Linked DNA regions of Tribolium castaneum. The protein of the gene in region 1 purifies or fractionates together with the protein of each later gene. This does not show direct contact. Links are inferred from orthologs where the notes say so. Each region holds a gene or a part of one and is shown in the gene's direction. Other genes may lie near its edges.

The links.
Region 2: the proteins of Pfdn4 (region 1) and Pfdn5 purify together in Homo sapiens (affinity purification with mass spectrometry; 5 studies listed by BioGRID and IntAct, counting the BioPlex papers as one, with this or other methods). This does not show direct contact. The link is inferred for Tribolium castaneum from reciprocal best matches to the Homo sapiens genes PFDN4 and PFDN5.
Region 3: the proteins of Pfdn4 (region 1) and Pfdn6 purify together in Homo sapiens (affinity purification with mass spectrometry; 6 studies listed by BioGRID and IntAct, counting the BioPlex papers as one, with this or other methods). This does not show direct contact. The link is inferred for Tribolium castaneum from reciprocal best matches to the Homo sapiens genes PFDN4 and PFDN6.

Annotation. Positions count from the first base shown.
Region 1 is NC_087395.1:16,370,342-16,380,592, reverse strand, and holds Pfdn4 (probable prefoldin subunit 4), read left to right. Parts: upstream 1-4,467; 5' UTR 4,468-4,603; coding exon 4,604-5,008; 3' UTR 5,009-5,179; downstream 5,180-10,251. Other genes in the region: rut (Ca(2+)/calmodulin-responsive adenylate cyclase), read left to right, coding at 1-480, 678-804, 867-884, 942-1,179, 3,031-3,365; ARL14 effector protein, read left to right, coding at 5,564-6,013. UniProt on the Homo sapiens protein: Binds specifically to cytosolic chaperonin (c-CPN) and transfers target proteins to it. Binds to nascent polypeptide chain and promotes folding in an environment in which there are many competing pathways for nonnative proteins.
Region 2 is NC_087400.1:9,617,773-9,628,056, forward strand, and holds Pfdn5 (prefoldin subunit 5), read left to right. Parts: upstream 1-5,464; 5' UTR 5,465-5,543; coding exon 5,544-5,645; intron 5,646-5,701; coding exon 5,702-5,836; intron 5,837-5,883; coding exon 5,884-5,958; intron 5,959-6,008; coding exon 6,009-6,161; 3' UTR 6,162-6,237; downstream 6,238-10,284. Other genes in the region: uncharacterized protein LOC103314387, read right to left, coding at 8-98, 152-279, 330-549, 598-690, 4,661-4,687, 4,738-4,776, 4,828-4,951, 5,090-5,163. UniProt on the Homo sapiens protein: Binds specifically to cytosolic chaperonin (c-CPN) and transfers target proteins to it. Binds to nascent polypeptide chain and promotes folding in an environment in which there are many competing pathways for nonnative proteins.
Region 3 is NC_087394.1:25,213,188-25,223,430, forward strand, and holds Pfdn6 (prefoldin subunit 6), read left to right. Parts: upstream 1-5,269; 5' UTR 5,270-5,406; coding exon 5,407-5,470; intron 5,471-5,515; coding exon 5,516-5,832; 3' UTR 5,833-5,907; downstream 5,908-10,243. Other genes in the region: glu (structural maintenance of chromosomes protein 4), read right to left, coding at 1,862-2,064, 2,114-2,476, 2,673-2,855, 2,903-3,092, 3,740-3,880, 3,927-4,114, 4,162-4,266, 4,320-4,496 and 2 more; vesicle transport protein GOT1B, read left to right, coding at 7,641-7,665, 7,718-7,809, 7,871-8,049, 8,103-8,184, 8,241-8,291. UniProt on the Homo sapiens protein: Binds specifically to cytosolic chaperonin (c-CPN) and transfers target proteins to it. Binds to nascent polypeptide chain and promotes folding in an environment in which there are many competing pathways for nonnative proteins.

The DNA of each region.
Region 1 (10,251 bases):
AACGCGTAACCTTGGCGAAAAGAGTTTGAAGAAAGACGGCTGTTGTCAGACGGATAAAAAGGACCTGAGACGGTTCAAGACTTCACCGTCCGGCTTCCGCGACAAGATTTCCCCCAATAACAAGGTGAACAACACCGAGAACGAGAACCTGATTGGTCCGTTTGAGCGCGAGATCCAGAAACTGCTCGACGAGCAGAACCTCCTCCAGAACATCCCTCCAAAGTTCGAGCTGAACCAGCAGAACAAAGACCTGGCTTTGGAGCCGCTTGTAAGGTACGCTCCAAACAATAACAACCACCAGGTGGGGCTTGCGGCGATCCAGGCCCTAGCTCTAGGCTTGAGAGTGAATCCCACCGGCAGTGTTACCCTCCAGTGCATGTCCCCTCCCAGAGCAAGCAGCAAAGAGGGATCGCTTAAGCGGGGAGCGTCCCCAGGACCGTCCGAATCCCATAAACAGCCAAAAGTGTCGCCTCTTGACAGGTACAGGAACACTAACATCGTGTCTCATTTTAGCCTCACTCAGCTTCATTAACACTCATGCTGCTTGCTCGCACTTCATGCTTTGTCACGTACATTTCTGGCACAGGTCGAGCCTATTCGAGATTTTACGTTCCACTGGGACGCAAAATCTCGAATAAGGTGTCCTATTGCGAAAATAATTTTTCTGGTGTTGGTAGAGCTCCGAAGTCGGCTGAGGAAGCCGATGTTGACTGTGATATGCCGGAAGTTCACAAGAGAGACGACGACACTGATCTTGAGAGCTTCGAGCGCGAGGAGCAACGCATGGAGGAAGAAGCAGCAAGGGTGAGTCACTCGGTAAATTTGCTGAATTTGTTTGATTTTAAAATGGTGATTGTGGCAAGCAGCCTGTGGACCGAGAGTTGGTAAAATCTTCAATGTTTAACAATTACCTAAACAATTTGTATCAATCGCGCTTACAGGAGGAGGAAGTTAAGAGACTGTTGGAGGAGAAAGTGCAAGAAAAGTTGAGGAATTTGGAAAATGGGGGTTTGGAGAGTCAAGGGGCGGAGGGAAGCCAGTCGGAGTGGTCGGAGGATGAGGACGGGGGGGCTTCTGAGCCACTTTTGAATGATAGGGAATCGACGGGGTATACCACGGATGATCCAGCGCTGGAGAATATTTCGATGATTAACGAAACTGGACTCACGGATGCTGAAGGTGAGTCAGGTATTTCCACCAGCACAAGTTAGCAAACATTTTTTGGAAGCAAAAAATCAGTACCAATTTCCGCTGCGAATACGGTTTAAGATAAAAAACAAGCATTATTTCAAAATTCTTTGAGCTTGTCCTTCCAAAAGAAAATATGAGCGCAATTTCGAGTACTTAATCATTTTTGGATAAAATATTGACAGTTTATTCAAAAATAGATAGGCTTATTGACATTGAATATCAACTGATTAATGTAAAATGACGAGCTTGCAAAAGTAACAAGTAATTTTTAACAAATTTTAAAAGAACTACAACGTTTGATGGATAGATTATTTAAAAGTGCAGTGAAACATTAGATTTATATGAAGAATCATGCTTTTTATATTAGAAAGACGTTTGAATTGACTTATCTTTTGTGAATTATCTGGGACCTTTACATAATTATTCAGAATAAGGAGGATAAAATTTTATTTTATGAAACATTTACATATTATTTACGATACCACAAATTATTAAATCATGTTCATCATAAGACAAACCCTGGCCAAATAATCTGTTCTTTGTACATGCAGAATGACACAAAAACTTTGGTCCGTGTATTGGTTTATCTAGGAAAAAACCTATGATGAGATCAGTTGCTAACAGATTCGAAGATATTTTGATTTTAGCACAATGTAATATTATTAAATTATTATTAAATATTAAAAATAAAATTTCGAGCTATCAACTGAAACAGTCACTCTAAATGACCGTGTAGATATGTGGAATTTTTTGAGGAGAAAATAAATTCTTCTTTAACATTTATGCCCAGTTGAAAAAATACATAAAAGTCGTCCAGTTTCTTAGCGTCCACTCCCTAGTGTAAATTCCTAAAATTTCGCCGGTGTAACGTGCAAAATTGTTCAAAGAGCGACATACACTAGAGAATTACACCCAAATTACACTAGGAAATAAAAGTGTTCTATTATACCTACTTTAACTTAAGAATTAAGATTTTAAAAAACAACAACAAACTCTTGGGTTTACCGTAAACTTATGAGTATAAATTTATTATTACTTTTTTATTTTGGTACACCTGTTCTATTAGGTACTATACGAATATGTTGAATAAAGTATTAGTTGACTTGACTTGGTGGAAAACAACGATAGAAACGTTTATTTTTCTTATTTATTTATTTCTTTATTATTTTTTCTCATGATATAATCAGAAAATACGCCACGTGCTGTACGAAAAATTTGTTCCATTAAAGAGATTGTGGTATAGGCAAAATTTTGTGTCGTAGTTCATACATTTTTTAACATAATTTATAAAAAAAAGTCAATAAAAGATTTTCTTAGAAACCAGAAGCGTCTCGTCTGGTCTGAACTGAGGAAAAATGAATTATTTTTGTCAAAATCACTATGCTTTAGCTCAAGATAAGAGTAATTTTCTCAGAAATAACTGAAGGAAACTACTTTTTGATTCAAAATTAATTGAGATATTTTTATATTACAACTTGACCAATTTAAAATGTATTTATTTTCTATTACTTTTATTACTTGTACATCGAATGCCGTGTCCTTATTTCACTTTTGTTTCTATAATTAATTTAGTGTATGTCTTGCTGCCAGCTCTAATAATTCTTTTTGCAAAAAAAAGGCTTGTTTTTTACAATACTTTAATTGGCACAGTCAGTAGGTTCGTACGTTTTAACGTTTAATCTGGAGTTTTGTTTTTATCAGCCTTTCTATTAATGAAAAATACTACTTCACAAGCTTCTAAAAGCAAAATTATCCGCAGTGTTTTGTCAAGTTTGAATTTAACTTTATCTGAACTTGTGGGTGCAGCAAGAGAAAATAATTTGTTGGTGTACTTTCAAGGCGCCCTGAGCGACGTGAACTCTGCTTATAACGACCACAACCACGAGGGCGACATGGACGACAACACCAGCATGTCGTCGCGCGCCTCCTCGCGCATCTTCGACTCGGACGCGATGATGTCTCTGGATTCTCTAAGTGCTCTCTATGACTCCGAATACGACAATTGCTATCGAACTGATGACGATCTAAATGCAGTACCTGACCTCGACAGACTTAACTATTTTTCAGTGCCTGCGAATGACGTTCATCTCGCAAATATCCGATCAATGAGTGAGAGTATTACTAGAAACTTTGGACAGCCTCGAAGTGAAACGGATCCAGATAGTGATGTTTAGGGACTAAAATTTTCTATGATTTGGTGAATAGACGATATTAATCTGAATGTACTATATTTGATTAGAGATGCGTTTACAAGATCGGAGGGTGATTATCTCGTTAGATGGTTTTGATCAAAACTTTTTCGTATTTTGGTTGATATTAGACTAGATCGCAATGGTGCTTCTAGCGCGAAGGGACTGATACTTTGTGATTTTTTATTAGGCAGCTTTCTACCAAGCTGGATATCACCCACGTAGTTGGTTTTAACCAAAGAATGCAATTTTTTACATTAGTGATATCTTTGTTGTGTATTGAATGATGATTTTATTACTTAACGGGAAATAGTGGCTCAACAATTTGTATAAATCTTGCTAATGGCGTCTCTTATGTATATAATCCTGTTTTAGTTGATTTTATTTATTTATGGAACATATTTTATTTGTTACCATCGTGGATGCAATATTTTGTATTTAATTATATAGTTTATATCATTAGTAATTCTAAATTACTGGTGTACTTAAATTGAGTTTTACACTTTCTTTCTCTCTTACGTACGACTTTTGTTACAGGATACATCAGATGTATTATTTGTTAATTCCATCTTAAACCGGATTTATAATGGAATTTTCTTTCTGTGATCACCATTTCTAAATGTAGCACTGAATATATTGGTGGTTTGTAAATATTTCTATTTTCTTCGAATATCCGATCTTGGTGTTTATTATTATTGTTGTTCTCTTTGTATTTCCTATTTTCTGTAACTATATTTTCTACTATTATCTGTAAAGACTAAAATTTGATCATAATATGTGTTGGAAAATTTTTAATGATTTATTAAATGCTTATAAAAGTAAACTAAATACATTATCAAAACTGCGTTTTTTTTTACTTCCTTCGGCAAAGTGACTCTGTCCGGTTCTGTCTTGTACCTTATGCCCTGTTCGGTGCACTTTTCTAAGCTTGTCAAGTTTTCCACAATTTGAAGTAACTTAAAAAAACTGTTGAATTAAATACAAAAATAAACAACTGATTACAAAACCCTCAAAAAATATTTTCACGATGTGTAACTAATTTAAATTTAGCCGGTTTAAACTTCGCAAATTACAGAAACCTGTAAATTATTTAATCTGTCAATTTGTCGTAACCTAACCTTATTTTTTGCATCTGATTTCCATTAAGTGTATCACAAGAAATTACATTTATAAACCTTTTATCTAGCTTTGAAGGGAAACAAATCCATTAGAAACTAATACAAATGGCGGGGAGCAAAGGCACATTTCAGCCGGATTCTGACGTCCACATTTCCTACGAAGACCAGCAAAAAATTAACAAATTTGCACGTTTGAATGCCAAACTTGAAGACCTTAAAGAAGAAGTTAAGGTGAAAGAGAACGATCTGAAAAGTTTGGAAGAAGCATGTGACGAAATTGCGTTATTTGATGAAGAGGAGAAAATTCCTTATTTGGTAGGGGAAGTATTTATCCTGCAAGACACTGAAACCACACAGCAGTGCCTCGATGATGCTAAGAAGAAAATTGATCAGGACATCAAGGAATTGAAAAGCCAATCAGATGATGTAAAAAGCCAAATGAGCGACTTGAAATCACATCTTTACGGAAAATTTGGAAGCCATATTAATTTAGAAGCTGAAGAGGAATAAATTATTTATGCGGAACGTTTTGGTATTTATTTAGAAATTTCACGCCTAATATTACTAATTTGTGACATTATTTCAACTGTTGCTTGACATTTTGTCACTTTACTGTCATTCCCATGTTGCCAGTAAAGATTTTTGTGTAATAACGATTGTAATAAAATATGAATTAACAAATGTTGTTTCTTATTTTTTCTGTATTTTCATAAAAACCATCGTTTTTTTCGTAAAATTTGTGGCGTTTAATTTTTCCGCCTGACTGTAAGACAGCCATTTTGATTTTGTCAAGAAGACGCGAATTGTTTTTTATCTTGTGAATTATAATATCTACAATTAAACACTAATTTTCTGCTTAATCTGTTAGTGACCTAACACAAATATTTCAATAATTCAATTTTTTAGTCACCCCTTCATCAATTTACGTATTAGATACGTGTACACCGGACTTCGCGCCAATTTGACAAAACAATTGTCAACTGTCTCGTTTTTTGAGGTTATGCTGTATTTTTTCGAATTCAATTTTACAAGAAAAACTTTTAAAAAATAGTCACAACCGAAACAATGAGCAGTGAAAGCAGCGAAGAGGATGAGCCCCGGCCGTCCCTCCACCGAGTGGCAAAAAAATCGACGTCCAACCCCAAACCCTACCCCAGCCGTATCAGAACCCCCGGGTCCCAGAAAACTCTGACGGTAGCCAACCGATTTTTGGAAAATTTTAATCCTGAGACTAGCATTCGCGAGAAACGGAAATTGAATCGCAAAATCAATCCGCCAAGCAACGTTCGGAGGCCACCAGGGGCTCTCTATGACGAGAATGGAATCCACATCGCCACTTGCATTGATCTTTGCGATTGCTTGAGTGAAGAGTGCGTGGGATGCTTTCTCCCATGCCCCAAATGTGGCTCAAGGAAATGCGGAATTGACTGCCGTGTCCATAGGAAATATGTCTATGATCAGCTTGAGTACCATGGGTACGATATTGTGGTGAAGAATCCCTTATTTAGGAATTGAGCTTTATGGGTTTCGGTGATTATGATTGAGAATTAGCGAATTTTGTAATATCGTTCATATCAAATTTATTGTCAGTGATTTCGTCTATATTTTGTATTTTATTTGTGTTCTTTAAAATGTTGTATTCTATTGACTACATTATAATAGTTAATAAATAATAATAAACTTATGTTGCAGTTTTATTTACCCTATGTTTGAATGTTATGGTATAGTTGTGATACATATACAGAAACAATTTTTTATAGTCACCCGGTAGAAATTTATTTAAACTAAAAATTAACATAAATAATTTCTTTGGTACTAAAACTCAACGTTTAGGCATTTTCAAAAGTGGCTACAATTTTTACATTTTCGTTAAAATTTCGCTTACCGTCGTTTTGACACTTAACGCATGACATCAAGTCAACAACATTTAATTGGTTGGTTTGCCTCTACAAATCACAGTAGTACTCGGTCGATTTGAAATTGGTAAAATCTCCCCATTTAAAGCAATTTCACATTTTTTACAATAAATAAAAATTGTTTTACTGATTTGTTTCAAAGTTTTTTGTATAAACAAAAAAATCTTTTATAAAATAAATAAAGCAACTTCACCCCAAACCTTTAGTTAAAAAAATCGACCGATTTATTCATTATAGGCGACAAGTATATTTGCATATTTTTTTAAAGTAAACCATTGGTTGAAAAATAAGTAAAATACAAAATTTAATTTCCTTGTACTGATCTAAGGGAATAATCACCTTCCGAAGACTAAAGTTTTCTTTGCATTTTATTTATTTAATACTTACTCCACTTTTCAGCACTATGTATCTCATGAAATGATTCTCAAGAAATGTAGGTAAGAAACTGGTGTAATGTGTAATTATTATGCACAAAATAGTAATTACGGCAAAGCCAATTAAGCAGGTGTGTTAAAATGCAAATAAGTAAACAGTTTAATTGAGCAAAAAACATAATTTTTGTCACGTGTCACTTTTTTACTACATTCTGATTTAACCAAAATAACAAATTATTTTCCTCCATTTTGATTTATTCTTCACTTTTATTGTATAAACAAAAATATTACTGTTATCAAAATACCACACACGTCTAGAACTCATCAAGGCGGGCGGAACATTTTCCTTTCATATAATTCATAAATAATTCTTATCTTTCGTTAATGCATTAACGGTTTTTAATTTAACGTTTTGATCCCAAGAAACCACTATAAACAAGTTAAAAAGTAGAAGCGTGAGAAGAACGTAATGTGGTGGGATTCGACAGCTACTTAAAAATAAACAATAGATTATAAAACAAACACTCGGCTCCGCCAACGAGTTTAAATGCAATTTAAATTAATTTTCTCCTCAATACATTATACCAGGACAGGAAGAAAAATTAAATTTTCTTCATGAAATGCAACTTCGATCCTCACAAATTTTAAATTTATGTGAAGCATGAAACTGTGTTATTGTTGAAGGGTTTCCATAACGACGCTTTCTATGGGTCGAAGTTGATTGCCAGAAGTGACAAAAACCCGCATTTTCTTGTGCTTATTTCTTATTTGCAAAGCTTTTAATTATTGTTAAATAATCATCAGTTAAAGAATCTAATTTCATATCTAAACCTATTTTCAGGATGATAACTGGAGGTAAGAATGAAACAAAATAGTTGTGTATTTTACACCGTTTTATTCCCTGTAGACGCAAAAGTGAGGAAAAGCCTCGAAATAAATATAATTTTTGTGTTAAGAAATTGGACTTTGAACATCATGAATTTAGTACCAATAGGATGAGTCTTATCGACGAAACTACACTTTTAATTTTTTATTTATTTATAATTAAATAAATGTATGTAGGTACATGTAAATGGTTAAAATAGGTAGGTTTTAAAATGCTCTTATCGAATCCGTCCTAAATTAGAAATAAGTAGGTATGACTTCATAGGTAATTTTAAAATTTTAATGTAAGTATCAATTAGAATTAATTAACTTAAATGCATATTGCCTACACACAGATAGATACATTAACGATTTTATGAAAGTCCCAATGATTTAGTTACTTTTACGAGCACTTTTATAAAAAAAAATATTAATCTGAATTCAGCACTAAATTATCGGTTTTGCTTTACAGGAAGCCATAAGCGGTAGTAATATAATAGGGGTAGCTTATTATGTCACATTAAGAAGCTTACAGATTTAAAGACCGTAAAATTTATTCCCTGCTCTCATTACCTATAACTCTTAAAGACATAATTAGTAATTAAACTAGCGCTTGGATCGAGACTTGATAGCAGTGTGCAAGATATGATTTTCAATGAAGCGTAAAACTTTAACGAAATACTAAGTAATAAGAATAAGTAAAATAGTGATCTGTTTTTCCTGTAACTATATGCTATACTATAATTAGAAATTATTATTGTAGTAGTTAAAATTAGGATGCAATGTGATACGTTTTAGGAAACTTTCGTTATGTACTTTGTAGGCGGAATTTTTTTCCAGAAATGGTTGTAAATTAAATTAGCTGTAAGACAATTAATGTAGTAACAAAAAAATTGTCTTTCCACCTTTTTCATCTCTAATGTTATAATTTTTAATTTTTGCATTAAGGCAATCCCTATGCAGCGTCAGATTCTAAAATTATGTACAATAGGCACACTTTGAGACATTCCTTTTTGTGATACTGTGTGTCCCAATGAGTTGGTAAAGTCCACTGCTGACCTTTAGATCTTAAAAAACACAGTGCTGTTCAAAAATTTGTGACATTAACACTAATTAATTGTTGGTAATTGTTATTACACCATGATAGTGATAATCATCCACCACGAATCACTTATTACGTCTGAAGTTTATTCAATGATTGTACAAACCATCAGAAATATTTAAATTACAAATGTTTTATTGTGGAAATTATGAATAATGGATTAAGCGTAGCACTGTCCAGTGTCCAGCTAGAAGATTAGGTACATTTTTTGTTTACTGAAGCAAGAACGAGAAAGAAGTTTTTTTTTCATTATTTCAAATTAAAAATAACTCGCTTGTTTACAATAACAAATCTGTAGTTATGTTTTTAAAAGGATCACAGTTCAATAATCGTTCAAATGTAAAAAAGTAGATTTTACGATTTTGGCTCAGTTTTGGTATTTTGTTTTTTTATAGTTGTGAGTGACCTTAATAGATGTCAATTTATAAAAAATAAATTTATAAAAATAATTTATAATAAAATAAAAAAACACCCAGGACTTCGTGGAAGCTCCGTAACTTTTTTTCTATGCAAGATATTGACTTCATTTTTTAGATACGTCTGACAATAGGCACCTTCTAAAAATATTTCAGTTTGTATACAGATTGTTCTAAAATAAAGTACACAACTAAGTTTTGTTTTCTAACGAAAATTCCAAATTTTTGTAACATTTTTGAAATCGCGACTTGATTGTCGATAAACGAACCCAGGTTTCTTAGACCTGTCTCTCATAGAGTTTGACATATGACAATAAATACCGTCGTTCATAGAAAAAATGTATAATAGACAGACAGAAAAATGTATAATAACTTCAGAACCATTCAAAACATCATAACCAACTTTTTTCAATCAATTTCTTAAGCTTTAGTACATCTTTGATAATAGTTGCAAAATTGGAGTCGATATCTCCTGGCCTACTACGATTAACTAACAAATTACAAATGGCAATAACGAGATTTTTTCAAATGCAGTACCACATTTTAAAATAAAGTTTGTGGGGTTTAAAATTTGTAAAATTATTGTAAAATAAAAAAAGTGATGTTTTTTTCGGAAAAAAAATCAAGTAGGCCATTGTCCCAAGATTTATCATTTCTATACAATTCAGAAAACATTCTGTTCAACAAATTGTAAATTGTAATAGAAACAGGGGTATATAACAAAGGAAAAAAATAGTAGTCTTTACTACTACTAGTACTACTACTACTACTAGTTTGATAGTTTTACATAGTTCCCTGTCAATCATACTTCCCTGTTATTATAAAGGCTTTTAAAATTCTTTCCTTTGTGGTGTACTTCTGTTTCTATACCTACAATTCACAATTTATTGAAAGATATTGTTTTTAGAATGGTATGGAGGTGTTCACAAATTTTACAAGTAGACCCCACAGCCCCATCGATAAAAAGATCATAAAAACCTCATGTAATTAATGATGTTTTAAAATATAAAATTAAAAAAAATCGAGTGATAGCCATTTGTAGTTTGTCAATTTCAGAAAATCGTAGTAGGCGATGGAATAT
Region 2 (10,284 bases), on another chromosome or scaffold:
AACTAACCAAGTTCTTGACTAACTGCTTGATCTGCAATTTCCTGATCGTCATTATTGTTGTACAACTGGTATCGTTCAAGAACATAATTAGTAACACACTAAAATTATTGATAATTATTACAATTTTTTTTTATTATGTTATAAAAACAACCTCAACTTTTTGATATTTGGGATCTTGTTCTAGAGCTGAATTTACATTTGTCTGTGTTATGTAAGTAACAAGATCAACAAGCCACCCAAGAATACCCATCACTTGTGGCCAAGCATGCATTGTATTAACTGAAAAAAATTATTAAAATAGAAATAACTAAGCTTAAATTAACTATTACCAGTTTTTAGCAATGAAAGCGAAATGTTCCCTGGAAATTGATAAATTTTGAGTGTGTTCAAGACAATATCTTTGTAGTTAGTTGTGTTGACTTCAAAGCGCGGATCGATTTCTTTGAATAGGAGGTTGAAAACGGCCACAAATGAATTAATGGTTGGTGGTTTAATGGTGTTGGGAAGGTGTTCAGGGCAATTGGGGTGTTCTCTGAGAAATCGCAAGACCTAAAACATCCAACATTCTCATCCAATCGCCAAATTTGGGCAACTCACTTTGGCATATTGGTCCGAAACCCACTTTTTGTCATTTATTGCTGAACCGATCTTGTAGGGGGATTTGCTGCGCGAGCGAGGTGTTGTGAGGTTCTATCAATAATTTTGTTAAAAAACTTAAAAGTACGGAGTATTACAAGGTATTAGGAGATGAAACGGGTACAAAATCGCCAAATCGTTTTAAATCCAATCAATTTAATAATTACTTGGAAAAAAGGCAGAAATGTTGAGCTTTGCACTTTTTACAGACAGACTGAGAAAAACTAACATTTTCGTAAAAAACATGAGAAAAAAGTTAATTAATAAAATTTGAAATTGCGCTTCGTTCCGTATTTTTCAAGACGCTGCGAATACGGTTAAAGATACAGGGTGACCTAGGGGTGTGTAATCGGTAACTTTTTTGTTATTTAAAATATTGCTATGCCGTTTTTATTATACGATAAATCGACCTAAAGTACACAAACTACAAATATTTTTATTATACCAGGTGGGGCAACTTTATCGCGCATCTAAGAAAATCGCGATTTCTAATTAAATAAAAAAAATTGCATTTTACACGCCTGACTGTACGTTCGAAAGGTATCTCCCCTAATGTTTTGGTAATTTTTCACTTGCAGATAAAAATAATAATTTAAAAAAAGTAATTTTCGACCAAAGAGTCAAATTCTAAATTTTATAGTAAACCACGCGTATTCACTTCAGATAATTGTTTACGAAATTAGCGAAGAAAAACACCAATGAGATTTTGAATTAAACGCACTTTTACATTTTAACTTTAAAAATTATTTTTATTTGAGTGGCTACTTGTGGTGACAATGTGAACTGTAACTGGGGTAAGATTGTAAAAGATTTTGATAGGATATTTGAATGCAGGCATCAGTTTTATTGCAAGACTGTAAATAAGGGGCTTCAAAAAGGTCGGCTACTGGTAACTGATCCCTTTGTTGGCAAATTATATCATCTTCTAATAAATAACGCGTCTAGTTTGCGTCTAAATAAAAAAGACCGATTATTTCACCAACCAAGTAAAAATTTATAATTCTGATACCAGCGTTCGATGGGCTAGCAGGTAAGGATTCATTTGGTCTAAAAACTTTGTAGTCAAATTAACAGTTAATGCCCAAAAACTCACAAAACTGCTACGACTTCATTTATTAACAAAAAAATTTAATAAAAATCGAGAATGGTCCTTATCAATGTACAGGCTGGTGAGTAAAATTTCAGGATTTTTATTTCATCAAAAGTCGCCATTATCTTGGGTGCGCGATAAGGTTGCCACACCCAGTATACAGGGTGTTGTATATAGGCTGGTGTACCAAAGTTATATTTTTTTAAATATAACTTATTTTAAATTATTTTTGCATAGTTGAATTTTACGCAAAAAAATAATATAACTTTATGTGGACTATTTGGATCTATTTCTTTTCGACTCGGAATTATTCAACTTTTCGTTATGAAAAAGATTTTTAAAAAATCACTGTGAAGTGATTATTTATGCATTAGAAAAACTCAGAATATTTTGTAGTTTTAGCAAATAGTCGACTTGTACTTGAAACACGCAGATAATGTACAGGGTGTGCTAAAACGCAAAAAGTTGAATGAGTCAATTTTTTTAAAAAACACCATGTATTTTTTACACGTATCGATAGCATTTTGCATAAGCTTTCTAATGGTATAGGGTTTACATAGCAAATTTAAAACATTTTTCGAGATTAAAAAAAAGTATTTTATTACAAGAAATTTGTTATCCTAGAATCTGATTTGTCAAATGATAATTAATTTTTTGATATGTACTAATGTAATGTGACTAATTACATTAGTAATTTAATTATTACTTGATACATCAATGAATTTTACACATCAAAAATTAATAATAAAATATAAAAGAAAAAAGAAAAAAACACTTTAGGAAATATTTCTAATTTACTATACAAACCGCATATCGTTAGAAAACTTATAAAAATGCTATCGACACGTGTAAAGAAATACATAGTGTTCCATTTGAAAAATATATGAGTTATTCAACTTTTTTACGTTTTGGCACATCTGTACATTATCTGGGTGTTTCAAGTAAAAGTCGACTAATGCTGAAACTACAGAATATTCCAAGTTTTTCTGTTGCAAATTTATCGGAAAATATTCATAGGTGACTTCGCAATGATTTTTCAAAAATTGGTCTTTTTTATAACAAAAACTTAAATAATTCCGAAACGAAAAGAGATAGACCCATAACAGTTTTATTTTTTTTGCGTAGAATCTAATTATGCAAAATATATAAGGGGTTTGATTTAAAAAATATAACTTTGGTTCACGAGCCTGTATACAACACCCTGTGTGCAGTAAAAATATTTTTAGTTTGTGTACTTGTAAGTCGATCTATCGAATAATGAAACATGGCAATATTTCAAGTAACATAAAAGTTATAAACCGAAAACAACAAATATTAACGTGAAACCTATTGCTTTTGAGTTTAGTTATAAGTAACAACGTAAAATAATTTATTAAAATACACACCATCACCTCAGTAAAACTTTTTTTTTTGTTCACAAATTATGGTGGAAAATTTATTATATGTAATGTTTCGCGGAAATGCTAATAAATATGAGGTAAGGGGTGAAGTAAGAAAAAGTGACTATTAAAATATTAAAAAGTCAAGAAGTTGGCCTGATATAAAAAAAACCATTTTTAGCAGCTCCTCCAGGTTGGATATTAGGAATCTGCACTTGTGTAAATCAAATGCCCAGCGACATCAAGAAATAATACCCGAAAAGCCCAATGTTCGAAAAAAATTAAATGAATTCAAAAAACACAAAAATCTAAATTTGGACAAAACATAATCCCAAGTTTTCAACCAAACAAACAAAAGTGGCTGTTTCTTCATCAAAATTCAAAATTTTGACTTAGTGAAGACTGTATATAAAAAAAGAATTTAAAAATTACGCACTACACACTTGTATACCAATTTCAGTGTCAAATATTGATCTCTAATATTACAAAAACTTATTCTGTGATATACTACACTGAAAAAGGCGAACTTAAATAACAAGATAATGGCTTATGTGCAAAAATTATGGATTTAATAATAATAATAATACATTATTTTCTCATTTTGTCATAATGTTCAAAATTGATATGCATAATAAATAAACCTACAAAGCAGTTATTTAAAAAAATAGTTAAGGAAACTTCAAATTCAAAAAATCTCCTATCAGAAAAATAACTTTTGTCCCTCATATGTTTCAGCCACTGGTTCTTTAAAATAACCGAAAAATATTATGGTAATTACACTAATTACACAACACTAAAAATGACCACAATCCGTCCTTTGCTTTAGTTGGGACAAAAACAGGTAGCAACCAAAAGACCATCCACAGAAACGGCACGAGCAACGCCTCTATAGGCAAAAGCAATAAACTATGGGGGATTATATGACAAAATCAGTCTATTCATTGATAATTTAAAAACAACAGTGTTCTACTACATGGCGTTTGTTAAATTAGTTGAAATTTCATATTTTGTAATAAATATCAAAACCCTAAAACAAATTTTGAAGTTTACTGATAAAATAACGCGACTTTTACATCAATCGCAATATCTCAAAAATAAATTAAACCTTTTCTTAAAGGAGTTTACTTTTTCAACGCATTAGCCTGTAGAATTAAAAAACCTTTAATATGATGTACACATAATACAGACTGATCCAGAAATACTGAGTCTGTTGGCAACACTGGACTTAAATTTTTAAGGATACCAATGAAGTACGCTTCAAGTTAACAAGAATTTAACATTCTTGTGGAGTTGGACGTCAAATAATTGTCAAGAAAAATCGAATTCGGTTGCAATGTTACAAATTACGAGCACAAATACTTTCAAATGTGTTGCCAATAGACTCAGTTTTTCTGGATCAGTCTGTATTTGAAATTCTGTTGCGTATTAAGAGAGAAAACTTTTTTAACTGCGCCCTCTGGCGACATTAGCGGAACCATTAAAAACGGGAACGTTTTATTTGTATGTACATCGTTTCGTATCCTAATCTTTAGATATCCGTACTTAAAACACTTACAGAATTTGATCGTTTTAACCCAGAATTCTGAAATAAATAGGTGTTTAACGTTATGTCAATTGTATTTACTGTTTTACCAGAGTCGGAGTAATGACCGTTGATTTTTTATAAGAAACCTACAATCAGCATTAGAGTGATAAAGTTCTCGAAACAAAACAAAACCTAACTGATGGAGTAACCGAAGGTCTTCTCAAATTTGACGAACTTGTTGATCTTTTCAAGGGCGGATTTAAGGTTCGGTCCATGGAATTCGCCCTGAACCTTTTTGCATTGTCATCTTTTGCACTAACTCTTTAAAACAAATTAGAGCCAATAATTTCATTTGAATTTCTTGAAGAAGGAATTTAGGAGAAGGGTACTTTTGGTAATTTTTTACTTTTTTAATAAACCAGGACCTAAATTAGGTACTACAAGTTTACATTATTTTACCTGCTGACAGAAGACTTTGAGCGTGACCTATTGGGGACTGGAAGTTGGGAGCTGCTGTTTGACCGTCGGTACATTGTTCAAAAGACTTCTCAACTTATTAAAAACACAATTAAATCATAAAACTGACTGAAGTGTACAAACATCAAGTTCAAAAAACGTTATTACAAAATCACCAATCAAGAAAGTCCAATAGATGCAATTTATCTACTAAATGTATCTAAATTGGAACTACTTGCTGTTAATTTTTTTAATATGTACCAATAAATACGAAACGTATACAGATTTATTTAACTGGAAACAATTTTAAAAAAATAATGCAAAGCAGTGCTTGTATGAAAGACACAGCATTGTCTTTCGACGAGTAGTTCATTCAAACAGTGCAATTTGTCTCTACTCCATTGCTATTTGACACTACCTTGTTTGTCCATTTATTAGTTATTAATTTATTAGAAAAATGGCTCAAATTTCGTCCACAGAACAGCCTAATATGAAGCAAGTGGATCTGATGACGCTAAATATCCAGCAGTTATCAACGTTAAAGCAACAGTTAGACCAGGTATGTGCCCTAACCTCAAACCTTGCACATGATTCTAAAAACTGCTCTTTTTCCAGGAATTGTCGCTCTTTCAAGAATCTCTTGCGTCCCTCAAAATGGCACAGACGAAATTTCAAAACTCCGGAGAGTCTCTGGAGAAAGTTGGCCCCGATTCGGATGGAAAAGAGATTTTAGTGCCGTTAACAGGATCGGTAATTTGAGTAATATTTACGAACTTTAATGAAAGTTTTTTTTTAAGATGTACGTGCCTGGAAAGTTGCACGAGACCAACAATGTGTTGATCGATATCGGAACCAGATATTATGCAGAAAAGGTGCAGCAATGTTGATGTTGAAATTGTGTGTTAATGATTGAATTTTTTAGGATATTGATGCTGCTAAAGATTACTTTAAGCGGAAAATTCAGTTTGTGACAGAACAGATGGAGAAAATTCAAATTTTGGGGTTGGAAAAAAGCAAAATTAGAGATGCTATTGTGGAAATTGTGGAATTAAAGCTGCAACAGCAACAGAATTGAGTTTAATTTTGTACATGATTTATTTATAACTGTGTTTAAATGTTTACCTAATAATAAAAAGATAAATTAACCTCCACTTTATTTGATTTTATGTTCCTGACTTATTCGGGAATTGTCTACATTTTGTATTAATCAATTTTGGTCAAAATTTGTTGCCGGATAGGCAACCAAATATACAGCTAGTTTTGGACTATCACTGAGAATATTACACACTGATCCACAAAAACTGAGTTTGTTGGCAACAATGGCTCGTAATTTGCAAGACTGCAACCGAATTCGATTACTTTTGACAATTATTTAACATACAATACCACAAGATTGTTGAATTGTTGTTAACTGGAAGCGTACTCCAATGGTATTCTATAAAATTTAAATTCAATGTTGCCAACAGTCTCAGTATTTCTGGATTAGCCTGTATTTATAATAGATGGTTATAGGAAATGCTAATATAGATCGATAAAGAAAAATATTCTCCTCCATCTAGTAAAATAAAAATTAGGATATTAATATAAGTTATGGGTACTTGAAGTTGTACAAACTTAACTTTAAAATTTTGGGTTTTTTACACTTCTTTTCCAATTTTGAACACATTAGAAAACAGATTTTATAGGCTTTCTCTTTTAATTCTTCAAAGATAATTTCGAAATTTCTCAAACTAAAAAAGCTACCGAATTTTTTAAGTGTCAGGTGCAAATCCAATAATTTTCAAAAAAACTTAAATATTTAAGAATATAAGATGCGTTGTCTAATACAATTATTGTCGGATCTTCTAAAGACGGTAAGAGCTTTTCAAGGAGACACGTTGTCGTGGTAATCGTCTGATTTTGTCTTTGAAGAAAATATTAGGGAAGCGTTTTCCAAGTTTTCCAAGTTCCTCCTTTGGCAAAAATCTATGTCTCGTCGAGAAAGTCGTATAAATTCACTGTTTTATACTCCTCGTATTTTCTCAAAAAAATTAATCTTTTTGAAACAATTTGTGGCTTCTGACACAGAGCTCGTCGATTGCAGTCTCTTTTATAATGAAACTCTGTAAAAACAAAAATATGTTATATTATACGTATATGCTTACTCATAAGTCATATTACACCTAGGGGCCGGTTTATATCAGGCGAATTAAAATTTGATTGCAATTAAGTGTTTTGTAAATTGGCCTCACTATATTTAACTAACTACAGTCAAACTTCTTTAAGTCGAACTTCCTTTACTCGAATTTCTCTCTTACTCAAAAATTTTTGTTTCCCCTTGCATTGCCAATCTTATTTACATGTGTTTAGCTTTCTTTAACTCGAACTTCTCTAACTCGAAAATTTCTCTAACTCAAAATTATTTTAATGAACAAAGCATGCGCGAACTTCTTTAACTCGAAATTATTCGTCACAATTCGGCGCAGTGTTATGCAAGTTTTAGTTTCGCAAAAATTGGCACATTTTCTAGAAAAATGGCATCTAACTATTGAAAAAGAAATGGACAGTGGGGTGAAAAAGAAAAAAAAATATGAAATTCCGTCGAGTACATTATCTAAAATTAATGAAAACAGAGCGTCAACGGTACAGTTTGCTCAGGAAATTGGAAATTCTGCCAATATGACAACTGATATTGTTTATAATTCACTAAATAAAATCGAGCGATTTTATGAAACCAATTGTATCAAAAAAACTGTACGTCAAAATCTGATCACAAGTTATATGCATTGAGAAAGAAAATATATATGTATGTTCATACAAATCTGTAATAATGTTCATTTCTAATAAAAAAATATTTTCAGTTTCTATAACTCGAAATTTCTCTAATTCGAACAAATATTCGTTCCCCTTGACGATTCGAGTTAGAGAAGTTCGACTGTAATTAAATTTTATTAAAACAAAAAAATGCATTCGTTGTACTTAACAAGATATTTAACAAAATACATACCAATAGACAGCAAAAGCTTTCTCAAATTCGACCAACTGCCTTGGTAGATGTGTTTTTTCTCCAATACTTCTTTTAATCCCTTAACTGTCACCCAAATTTTCTTTTATAATATTTTTTATAATGTTCTCAGCAATTTTTAATGCTTCTGCAGCACGTCTTATGTAGCACTGAACAGGAATTACTGGCCCCAAGTTTTTTAACAAAAACTTAACAATACTTTTTATTAATTCACCACTATGTTTATCATACATTTTTTCGAAGTAACTGATACCTCCTATCTATTATCAGATGTAGAAACAACTGAATTTGTGAGAGTAGGATAAGGGTAAAGTGACCCTTAAACCCTTAAAACCAACTTTCTAACGTGAAAACCCTTATCTACAACCAATTACTTGTGTCTAAGAAACTAATCCTATTTTTACCTTTAGTGGAATTAATACCATTATAATGTGTTAGAAAGTTGCTGTAGCAGTAAATTAAGTAATTACAAATTAAACATAACATAATCTTTTAAGAGAGTAAGAAACAATGCTGTTTACAAATTGTTCACATTAAAAAGTTTTTAGGATTTAAAAATCACTTTCAAATTGAAATTCATAATTAACATGTATATTTGTTGATAATAGTAAACATTTTGTTTATAGGGTTGACCAGGCAAACAAATAAAAGACATATTAATTTATTTAACAACAATAAACATAACAAATACCAAAGTGGCATCCCATAGTTTGGGGACGATTGGTAGACCCTCCCATTTTTCGCTACGCTTGACGGTTTGTATTTTGTTTCACTCATTCGCATAGTAACAACAAAGACAAAACTAGTAGCAGATGGGAAAGTGTTATTTGATACATTTATACGACATCGGCCAAAATTAAACTACTTTTAGTATATCTCTAAAACGGTTAAACTTAGGTATATAGAAAGTATAGTAATAAGTAATAATATGTAATAACGTAGTGAAAAACTTAACATTCTACTTAAAACAAAAAAGTTGATAGCGACTTCCGGTATAATCGGAAGTGCCGCCATCTTGAAAATATTTTCATTGGGCAGAACTTGACAGATTATGACTGAGAACCAACTTTCAATACTTCTAATGTGGAGTTTATACGGAACAGGTTGTATAATATTGTGCCTGAAATGCCTTGAAATATGAGTTTAATGTTTATAGATAGATGAAACTATTATTTTTCTAGAATTTGTTAGTCTTTGTGTAACAAAGTACTAAAAATAAAATTATGATCCTGTATTAAATAAATCTGATAATCTTATCAATGCTCGCTATAAGTAAATATTTTTAAAAAAACATGCTTTATTTCAGTTTTCCTTATTTATACTGGATGCGGCAACCTTATCGCGCACCCAAGAAAGTCGCGACTTCTAATGAAATAAAAATCCTAAAATTTTACACACCAGCCTGAACGTCCTAAGGTGCGCGATAAGGCTGCCCACCTAGTATATAAACTTGTAATAGATAGATAATAAGATTATTAGATTACAGACAGTAAGTCTATCAGTTCTGTAGATTAGACGTGCAGTTTCTTTGTGTCTATTGTGGTGCCAATAGCATGCTTTTGGCATATGAGTTGTCATTGCATAACAGCTTAGTTATTTGCACCATAATAGTTTTTTAAATAAAAAACAGTTTAATAGTTAGTTATATTTTATCAAAACAATAGAGCAACTATAGTTATTAATTTTAAAATATAAAATTTAGTTACAAAATGTTCTCTTAAAAACGTATAGAAGGGTGCATTTCAAACCTTTTCTCCAATTTTTATTTTTGAAGTCGTTATTGTTATGAGTTAATTTGTATTTATTATACGTAAGTACCTATTTTCGATTTTTGAATCCTCTTAGAAATCTATTTACAAAAATGCTACTTTTTGACTTTATTGCACCAGCAAAATATGACGTCTTTACTGCTTTTTGAGTAATTATTACATTTTTCTTTACTTTTTCAGTGTGACTACATTCCTTTCTGGTGAGTACAAAAAACACAGTACATAAGTTTTCTTTAGAGAAAAATTTACCTATTTACTTCAAAGCATTGATGAGTACTAAATAAACTTATATTTGTTGAATTGTGTATAAATGAAGCACTCCGAACATTTTTTTGAAAAATAAATTACAAAAATATGGGTTATTACTTTAGTTCACACTGTATAATAACAATTTTACAACACATAATATTAAGATAGTAAACATC
Region 3 (10,243 bases), on another chromosome or scaffold:
TAGAGAAAAATGCATAATTGTTGTGCTTTACTTTCTTAATAGGGTGAAAAAACCTTACGTATACAAATTCAACATGAAAAACACGACAAAATTATTACAAAATTTTAAATTTGGGCTCTGGCACGTATTTTTCAAAACGCTGCGAATACTGATGAAGATAGAAAAAAAATGAAAAATGTAAGAAAAAAGTTGCAGACAATCAAATTTCCTTTAAAAAATTCTCCAAGATCAAATATATATCTTCAAAGGTTTAGGCCACAAATACGTTCAAAGACAAATACGTTTCAAAATTTATTTTCTATATTTTTTCCCACACTTTTTTCTTTCATCAACCGTAGCCTTTTGAAAAATATGGAACACACACAAATTTGTCATTATTGCTTATAATTTATAAATAGTATACTGATTTTGATAAAGTGTTTACGTTAACTTTATTTCTTATGATTTGTTTAAACTTCTGCAGAAAAACCGAAAGTTATTAAGTTTTTTCGAATCTTTTGTTTAATACTAACAAATTAAATCTCTTAAAAGTGTATTTTTTCTGAATCTCAAAAACTAATAATCACACTGAAATCAGCGTTTGCAATTTAATACTTTGCATTTCAGTTCTGTGTGTGTTTTTTCTGAATTTGTCTAAAATTCCCTATAATTAAAATGAACCAATTAATATTAAGTCGCTGCACAAAAAGTACCATTGTTTTAAGCAATTCGTGTTTTATAAACTGTCCCCTAAATTACTGCAGTTAAATTTTATAAATTCCAATAAGCAGACAAGAAAATTTAATGTAATTGTTATTTATTTTGTTAAGGTTTTTAAAAAACAGTTTTGAAAAATTCCTCTTACCCACAAGCAGGACAAACGCTTGTTTTAATTTACTTAACTTTGTAAAATAAAATAATAATATATCAAGTAAATAAACAACTTATTTTATAGTCAATTTTATGTCTGTTCGAAAGTGCAATTATGTAAGTTTCAAGTAAAAAGGTCCTTTTGTGTTTTTGAACTTGGCGTTATTTAACTACAATATTATGGCAACATTTTTTTATACAAAAATAAATAAATCTCAAAATGAACGATTGGATGGCCGAAACGCTATTCTGTAACTATTCTAAAAAGCTGTCAAAATTTAAAACACGTAAAAATTGAAAAACTAGCGATTTTTAGTTATTGTTCTAGCAGCAGCAACGAATGGTCTTTAAATTTTAATAGTTTTAAATTAAAAAATGTATGATTATTAAATTAACTGATATTACTTAAAACCTGTAACAAAACTAAATTTAATTGTTTAAATTTTTATTTGGAAGTGTATAGAAATATCAAGCGACCAAATAAATAAAAAAAAATATTTTGTATGTCAATATAAATTTAAATGAAAATTTTTAAGTAGTAAGAGATTTTTTCAAACATCCAAATAGCCTGTCACAGACAAAATTTTCCAGGGATCCTGAATCTGCAAGCGGATTTTATCTACTAATAGTATTTTCCGAAATATTTTGTAAAGTTTAAAAGTTGGAAATTTTCAAGCAAAATAAAATTGAGGTTGATAATTACTTGACACTTGATCAAACACCGAAACAGTTTTTGAAAAAAATATTAAATTTTTGGAAACGGCGAATCGGATTATGTCGCCTCCCGATATTTATTCTCCGTATTGCAAAATATTGGAAAGTAGTTTCAATTTTTTTTTACATGTTTCTCGTAAAAATTTTAGTCATGAGTTCTTCTCAGCCTATCAGGAATGTTACTAAAGCTCAACATTTCAGCTTTTTTCCAAGAAATTATTAGTAAACAGACTGCATTTAATCATTTTAAAACCGTTTAATCTGTATCTCATTTCAATCCTATTTTGAAATGACTCACGTTTGAATTCTGGTGTTGGCACGTTCCCTCAAATATTCCTGTTTATCAAGTGCGATAAAAGTAACTCTTCCAATCCCGTGAGTTTTTAAAAAATCAATACACCATGCAGCTGTATCTGCTGTATCAACCACAACATTGTCCAATGGTCCACACGCAGTTGAAATGGCCACGTCATATTTTTGGTCAATGCCCCCCAAATCACCCTAAGGAAATATCATTCACAGAAGTCCCACTTTTATTTTTTTTACTTACAAGACGTCCATAGAGCCCTGGACATTTCCCTTCACGCTTCTGTTGCATCAAAGCATCCAAAACTCTCCCACGTGACTTGGAACTGTTCATGGAAGCACGAGTCTCCTCCAAAGACATCCTTTGTCGTCTAATTTCATGTTCAATTTGATTTTGTTCGGATTTAACTGCGTCTAGTTCATGTTGCGCGTCATTGAGTGACTTTTCCGTAAGAGGAATTTTCTTTTTAAGTTGCGACACCTCTCCAGAACGTTCTTTAATACAAGCCTCTTTGTTTTTAATCGTTTCACGAAGTTGGTTAAGCTTTTCTTGTTCGGTTTCTTCACTGCTTCGGGCAAAATTTAATTGCGTGGAAGCCAAATCATACTAAAAAAAATGAGTAACAATAGTACGTATTAACAAGTACTCATTTAACTTTAGTAGATATTCGTGTTTTAATTAATATTAAATGCAAACTGCAAACACTATTTTTTCTATAACCGGATCATAATAAAAAAAATAATTTTTATCAATATATAATTTAACAAACCAATTAAAAGTATGGATTTAGAAAATAAATTACCTCATTTTTTGTTGTGTCAACTGTCTTTTTGAGTTTACCAAGTTTAGTTTCAAACTGTTCTTTCTTCACTTGTAGATCTTTCGTCTCATGACCGATATTTTCCATTAATTTTGCCTTCTCTGCTTGTAATTTTTCGTGCTGTGATGTTAAATCACGCTCTCGCTTCTCACACTCTCCAATGAGCTGCAGAAAAAAGTTAACAAAAATTAAATACAAGTAATTGTCATTACTTTTGCATTTTCTTCAGGCACTTTTTGTAACTTAATTAGTTTCTTTTTTTCATCTTCCAGCTGTTGCTTAAATTTTTTCCTGTTATTGTTAGTGTTTGTCATTTCGGCTTGTAGTTGGGCATCCTTTTTATCAGCCGCATTGAAAGCATCCTTGAGTTGATCCTTTTTCTGTTGCAACTTTTCATATTTTCTAGAAAAAAAATTGTTAAAACAAATCAATGTTTCAATAGCTATTTAAGTGAATAATACAAAATTGTTTAAATAATTTTTTGAAGGGATAAAAGCTCTTTATTCACGTATAGCATTCAATATTTTTAGAACGTTAAATCACAATTACATTTCAGTTCGCTTTTTGAAAACCTAAATTTTAATATTTAAATGAAAAAGATGAATAAATAGTTATTTATTATACAAGACCATAAAGAGATTGTTTATTTACGATTAAGTTCAAGAATAACAAAGACTTATTTCACGAAAATAATACTTTGATTTTTCTATAGCAGAGACATTAAGTTTAAAAAAAAAAGCTATTGTTAATCCTTAAAATTAACATGTTGGAATTTGTAACTTTATAAATTATTGAATACAATGAATTTAAAACAATTTATGTACGCTTGTGGTAAAGTGCTATTTTATGTACTCAAAAGAATTGATAAAGAAATAATGTATCATCTGATACAGAAAAAACGGTTGTGTGGCAGAGTGAATAAAGCGTTGCTATAAATATTTTATTTATTCTTTTGATTCATTTTATTGATTAAACTATTGTTTTATTAATCAGATTTAATTTATAAAATGAGTATTTTATTAATAGCATTGAATAAACGATTTATTTACCCAGCTTCTTGCTTCAAAATTTTCTCTTTTTCAGTTTTTTCATCTGAAATGGTTTTCAATTCTGCAATTAAACCGTCACGACTTTGTGTTAACTTCGCCTTGTCTTCTTCCACTTCTTTCACTTCAGCTTCTAAATCATGTCTGGAAAAAACGGGTTATAAATGGCACTCATTCCAAACAAACTCACAATTCTTTCTGATGCAAGAAATTCTTACAAACTGCAATTTTGTTCTCTGTTTTCAGAAAAGTAAGCGCTTCTTCCATAGGTCCCTTGAGTTGTTCCAACTGTTTTTCAATCAATGTGAGTCTGTTGAGTTTTTCAGTGCGCAAATCCGACAAATATTCTATTCTCTCATTTAATTGCTCCAAGGGTTTCTACAACAAATTTTTTTTTTTTGTGTTAAACTAATTAAACTTCTTACTTTGTATCTGTGTGTTCCAATGATATCTTCCAGATATTCCAACATTCCTATTTCGTTTTCATTTGCTCCTTTACATTTCATCATTGCGATTTCCTCAACTTCGCCCTAACAAAATTTCATTCAAAAATAAAGCACTTGAAGGAGAAATAATCGCAAACCTGCAAAATCAGAAACCTGTTAGTGTCGATATCAATTCCATGCCCCTTCAACAATTTCCCAATTTCCTTAAATTGGACTCTTCGTCCATTGAGCTCATAAAACGAACTGTTGTCTCTATTGGCAGTCCTTGACACGACAAATTCACTACCTGGAACAACCTCATACTCTTCCCCGGGCTAAAAACAATCACTTATTCACAATTTCATAAAATTAAGCCTTACCTTATCTACGATTTCACAAAAATGCACCGCCACATTGCAAGACTGAACATTAGGATACCGTTCAGAATTGTGAATCAACACTGATAATTTTTTGCACCTCATGCGAGTGGCCCTATATCCAAACACAAACAGCATCGAATCAATGACATTGCTCTTGCCGCTACCGTTGGGGCCAATGATGGCATTAAAACACTACAAAACACTCATTGTCTCTTGTCCAAACCGTCACAAACGTACCTTAGAGAAGGGCCCCAAAACTACATTTTCAGCGTAACTTTTAAAATAATTGTTCACGATCTTTGTGATTATTAAGCGAGTTTGCGACTTCTCGACGTTCCTACGTTTCAAAGGGGGCGGAATGTAAATATCATCCACATAAATACCCTCTTCGTCCGAAAAGTTCAAGTCTTCTTCGACTTGGCTGTTGTCTGGGTGTTCGCGCTTCTTTCCTCTGTTTTCCGTCATTTTTACACATACATAACATACAAGAAACTGCGGAACACAAGCATAACACAACTAAACTCGTTGAAAACACAAAGCACGAAGAAATTTCAAATTTTAACGGTTATGTTGCGTTGTTTTGTTTAGGGTGAAGTTAGTTGCATTATTTAATTCATGTATTAATACGGGTCGTGTAATAAGTGTAAATCGCCCCCTTATTTTCAGTAACTAACTGAGTTTAACGAAATACAGGATAATTATTCTTTTTTAGAGCGAAATAAATTTTTTGTCCTTAGTATATCTAGTTGGTGACGTAGAAATCCCTAGACGTGTGGGTGGTCGGCCTGTTTGATTTTGACGTTTGCCCAAAAAGGAAAAATTAAGATACACTTTTATATTTACTCCAAGATTATAAAACCGAGCAATGAGTGAAGATCTGCAAAGAAAAATCCAGTCGGAGCTGGACAGTTTCAAAAACACACAAAAAGGTACAATAATCTGGTTTTTTGTCCAACCTAACCAAACTTTTCCAGAGTTGCAAAAGGCGATTTCAACGAGACAACAATTAGACAGTCAGTTAAACGAAAATATGATTGTTAAAGACGAATTAGAAATCCTTCCTAAGGATGCTAAAGTGTACAAGTCCGTTGGTCCAGTCCTTATCAAAACTGAACTTGTTGAAGCTAGACAAAATGTGGGCAAACGAATGGATTATATCAAGAAAGAGATTTCGAGGGTTGATGATTTGATCACTTCGATTGAAAAGAAGCAAGATGTGCATAGGGAGGCGCTCCAAAAGCTGCAACATCAGTTTCAACAGGCGCAAGTGAAGGCTGCATTACATGCTTAATTTTGCGAAAAAATCACTTATTTATTAACACGTTTTGTAATACGAAAGAATAATAAAAATCTCGTTAACGCTTTATTTATTTAGTCAATTATCCACTGTTTCTGTTCAACCATGCTACAATGTGTTCAGCTTTACGAAGCCCTGTATACGTTATGGGATAGCCCCCTTTAAACAGTCTCAGTGCTGGAAAACCCCCAATTTCTTGTTCTCGAACTAATGCCTTCTCGACTGTCGCGTCCACTTGTCCCAGTTTAATTTTTGATTGTTGTTTCTCAAGAATCTTGCACACTTTTAAATACTCGGGGGCAAAAGCCTTGCAATGGCTACACCACGGCAGATAAAATTTAACCATTAAAAGTTCGTGATGACTGACCGCCTCTTTAAAATTAAATTGGTTCAAAATCAAAATTCCGTCTTCGGTGGGAAATTCATCTTTTTTACCACCCCCAAGAAAGGAAAACGTGGAACTGATTAAACCAAACGCCGACACGAAAGGGTGCAACATTTTGTGTAAAGTTAGCAGTAAGAAGGCCCCTTCAGCACACAACAGATTTTAAGCATTTTGACCTTGTTTTCAAATATCTCGAAAAATGTTAAAATTTGAAGGGAGCTGCCTTGTTTTTCTATTGCTCCGCTTCAGCACAAAAATGAATACGACTTCAGAGTCCTGTTTCACAAGGTTAACGCCTTTAAAAGAAAAACAGTACTTATTATTAAATTATTATTATTAAACTAATAATTTTAAAGAACATCAGGTAAAAAGGAATTGACGTTTAAAATCCGCGCAGTTTTGAATGTCAATTGTCAAATGTGCAAAAGATTGGTTAGGTTAGCCAAATTTTTAAAACGAAGTTAAAATAAATAAACAAATAATAACAATAATGAATATCCTCGACACGGTGTTGTGCACATCGAAAGCTGAAAAATATTCAAGCAATTTTAAACAATTCAGCATTGATGCATTCACTCTCAAATTGTTCAATGAAGAAGATTTAAAAATCTTGGGTATTGAGGAGGAAGAAATTCGATTAGCTGTTTTACAACATGCTAATAATTTACAAATACCTGCAGAGTATTTTTTACAACCGAATAATTACACAATTTCTAATGTTTTTTTTGCAGAAAACATACAGAGGTTTTGATAGATGAAAAATACGTACAATTAGTTTTAGCCCAAATGTCTATGCATTTGACGAAACATTTAGCTGCTCTTTCTATTGCAGTGAATAGAAGGGATACAATTGTGTGCAATGTTCAGTTGAAACCAGCTGCCCATTGTTTGCAAAAATGTGTAGAATCTTTAGAAAAACAATTAGACGAGTTTGAGCAAAAGGTAGTTTTGCAACACGTCTGAACTATAATTAATTTCTACTGTTGCAGATTGTTAGAAAAAACAGGAAGATATGGTACAAACAAATTCTCATTCCTATTATAATTCCATCACTTGTGTTTGCCTCTTTCAAAGCCTATAGAATTATTCTAAAACTGATGTAATAAATTGATTTTGCAAAAAACTGTCTCGGTTTAAATTTCGCGCCTCCAATAAAGCCAACATAAAAAACACTAATGTTTAACAACACAAAAGATGATTGATCAAGAAAGTAAATATTGCGCTAAAGTGTAAGAAAACGTGATCATAAGTAAAACGTGCAATTTTCTTTGACTATTTCAACTTTAAAGTAATATTTAAAGCCAGTGGAAAAAAGTTCCAACTCATACCAGTGACGTGGATGTGTTTTGTGAGGTTATGTCACAGACGTTTTAAATTTAAAATTTTCTTTATATAAATCGCCAAATTAAAATAGAAAATGTTTGAGGTCACCGATACTCAAAGTATGTTTAAACAATTGCCAAAATATGTTTGGTGATAATATTTTTTTTACAGAAATTGGGGTCGGCCTGGCTGGCTTTGGGATGTTTTTCCTATTTTTGGGTGTTTTATTACTCTTCGATAAGAGTTTATTAGCGTTAGGAAATGTAAGTAAATAATTTCTTGCTGTTAGCGCATGTAAAAACATCACATTTCGTTTTGTTGCAGATATTGTTTATAGCTGGATTGGCATGTGTTATAGGATTAGAACGAACGTTTAGATTTTTTTTCCAAAGGCACAAAATCAAAGCCTCAATCTCCTTCTTTGGTGGAATAGTGATAGTGCTTGTAGGTTGGCCGTTAGTTGGAATGCTCTTTGAAACTTACGGATTTGTATTATTGTTTAGGTATAATGTGTCTTGTGTCTGAGAGTTGTAAAATTGACAAAGCATAATTTTAGTGGCTTTTTCCCAGTTGCCATCAACTTTCTCAGAAGAGTACCCATTTTAGGAACATTTTTAAATTTCCCAGGGATTAGCAAGGTACTCAAATTTCGAAACAGTTTAATTTGGAATAATATCTCCAATTTTTTAGCTAGTTGATAAACTGGCTGGAGACTCCAACAGGACAACAGTGTGACTTGAAATAGACTTGATTTCAAACAAAATTGTTGAACGGTGCTGTTGCATCGTATTGTGGTGGCTCAGATTTAATTTAATTACAAATAAATGTATTTCATTTGCAATATACCTACTGTACAGATTTTTTATTTTCCAAATAATGTACAAAAACCATTTATCGTTATAATAAATGTCGGCACATTTTTTATTTGATTATTAATAACATTTTCCCCGATCGTTTATAATGAAAAATTGCATCTCACTTTCACAATGATATGAGAAAAATTGTAGTTTTTTAAGACAGGTCGTGTTGTAGAAAAAAAACAGTGTATACAGCTCGCGTTAATGGCTAGTAAAGTCGTTCTCAAACTCGTGTCCATCGTTGTATAAACACGGACAAAATCGAATAAAACAAAAAACAACATTAATTTTGGTAGAATTTGATTTTAATTTTTGGTTTAATAAGCGATATGTTTCAGAAAAAAACTTAGTTTTTACCTCTGAAACGTCCTTTGGCTCTAAAAAGACAAAAATAAGTTATTTTTGTAAATAAAATAACACAATTTGCGGTATAATTCTGTGAAAATATAAACATCCAAATAACACGCTTAAAAAATTCAGTAGACTAATTTTTAACACAATTTGGTGGTTTAGTAGAATCTCATAAGAATTTATACGAGTAGGTACTCGAGCTTATAGCTTAAGGACGTACTTACGAAAATATAAAAATGAATAATAAACGAACTAAATTCGATAAAGGAAGGAAAAACATCAATTTAATCCAATTAAAAAAAAAAAAATGTCTCCAAAATTTCTTTTTAATTTTTTGTTTTGCGATTTTAACGACTTCTTTTCAACAAAAATTTGCGAAATAATAACGTTATTGTCTAAAAAATGCCCTAAACGCCCAAAAAAATGCATAAATAAGTTTAATTTTGACTCAATTTGTATGTTTTTCTAATTTTCTAATTTTTCGAATAAAAGCAAAAATAATTATTATTTTTAATGCCATTTGAAAATTTTTCTCTGTTTTAGCAAATATTTACTAAAAAAATATTTGAAAAACGTGCTCGTCGAAGATAAAAATAATGCTATCTTTTTCTTGTTTTTGACAAAATATTGCTTAAAAAATAATGAATTCAAGTAAAGATTAAAAAAAAGAAAAAAGACCACTTTCGGAAATACACAATTTTTGACGTGATTCTACGATTTTGCGGCTTGTTTACATCAAAATTTTGCGAAATAATTGCGTTGCTAACTGAAAAATGTTCTAAACGCTCGAATAAAGGCAAAAATAATTTATTATTAACTCAATTTGGAGATTTTTCTATCTGTTTTAGTAAAAATTCAATGAAAAAAAAATGAATAACGAACTTAAAGGCTTGTAGTAGATAAAAATAACACTACTTTCAGAGTATTCTTAAGAAAACATGGCTCAAAAACTAACTATCGGAAAATCGAAAAAAGAAAAGGAAATTTGAGAAATTAAAAAAAAATCGTGCTTAAATTCATAAAAACAAAAAAACACAGATCCCTATTTCACATATTTTTTTAACCTTTTATTTAAAAAAGTAATTTGGTAAAATGCGACGTCGTCAATTTATTAGTTTTAAAACAGAAAGTAATACCATTAAACATGATTAATTAATAATAGGTATGAACGTCTTAATCGTTTCATTTTAATTTAAAAAGAAATTAACAGTTTAGAATTAAAAAAAATAGAAAGGTACGCAACCAACATTACACCACTGTAAATCTGAGAGCGGACATTTTAGAAAAAAAAAGTTCTCTTTTTTAGTATGATTTTCTTTTGAGCTGCGACACCATAACCAATTTTTATTTCATAATTGGTTGTATAACGCGGCGGCAAAGAGAAATATCAGAGAACAAGAAATATCCTCCAGATTAAAAAGATGGATTTTAAAAAAAGTTCATTCTGGTCTGATCGAGGGTCTCTGATTCTAAGTTTACTCTAAATTTA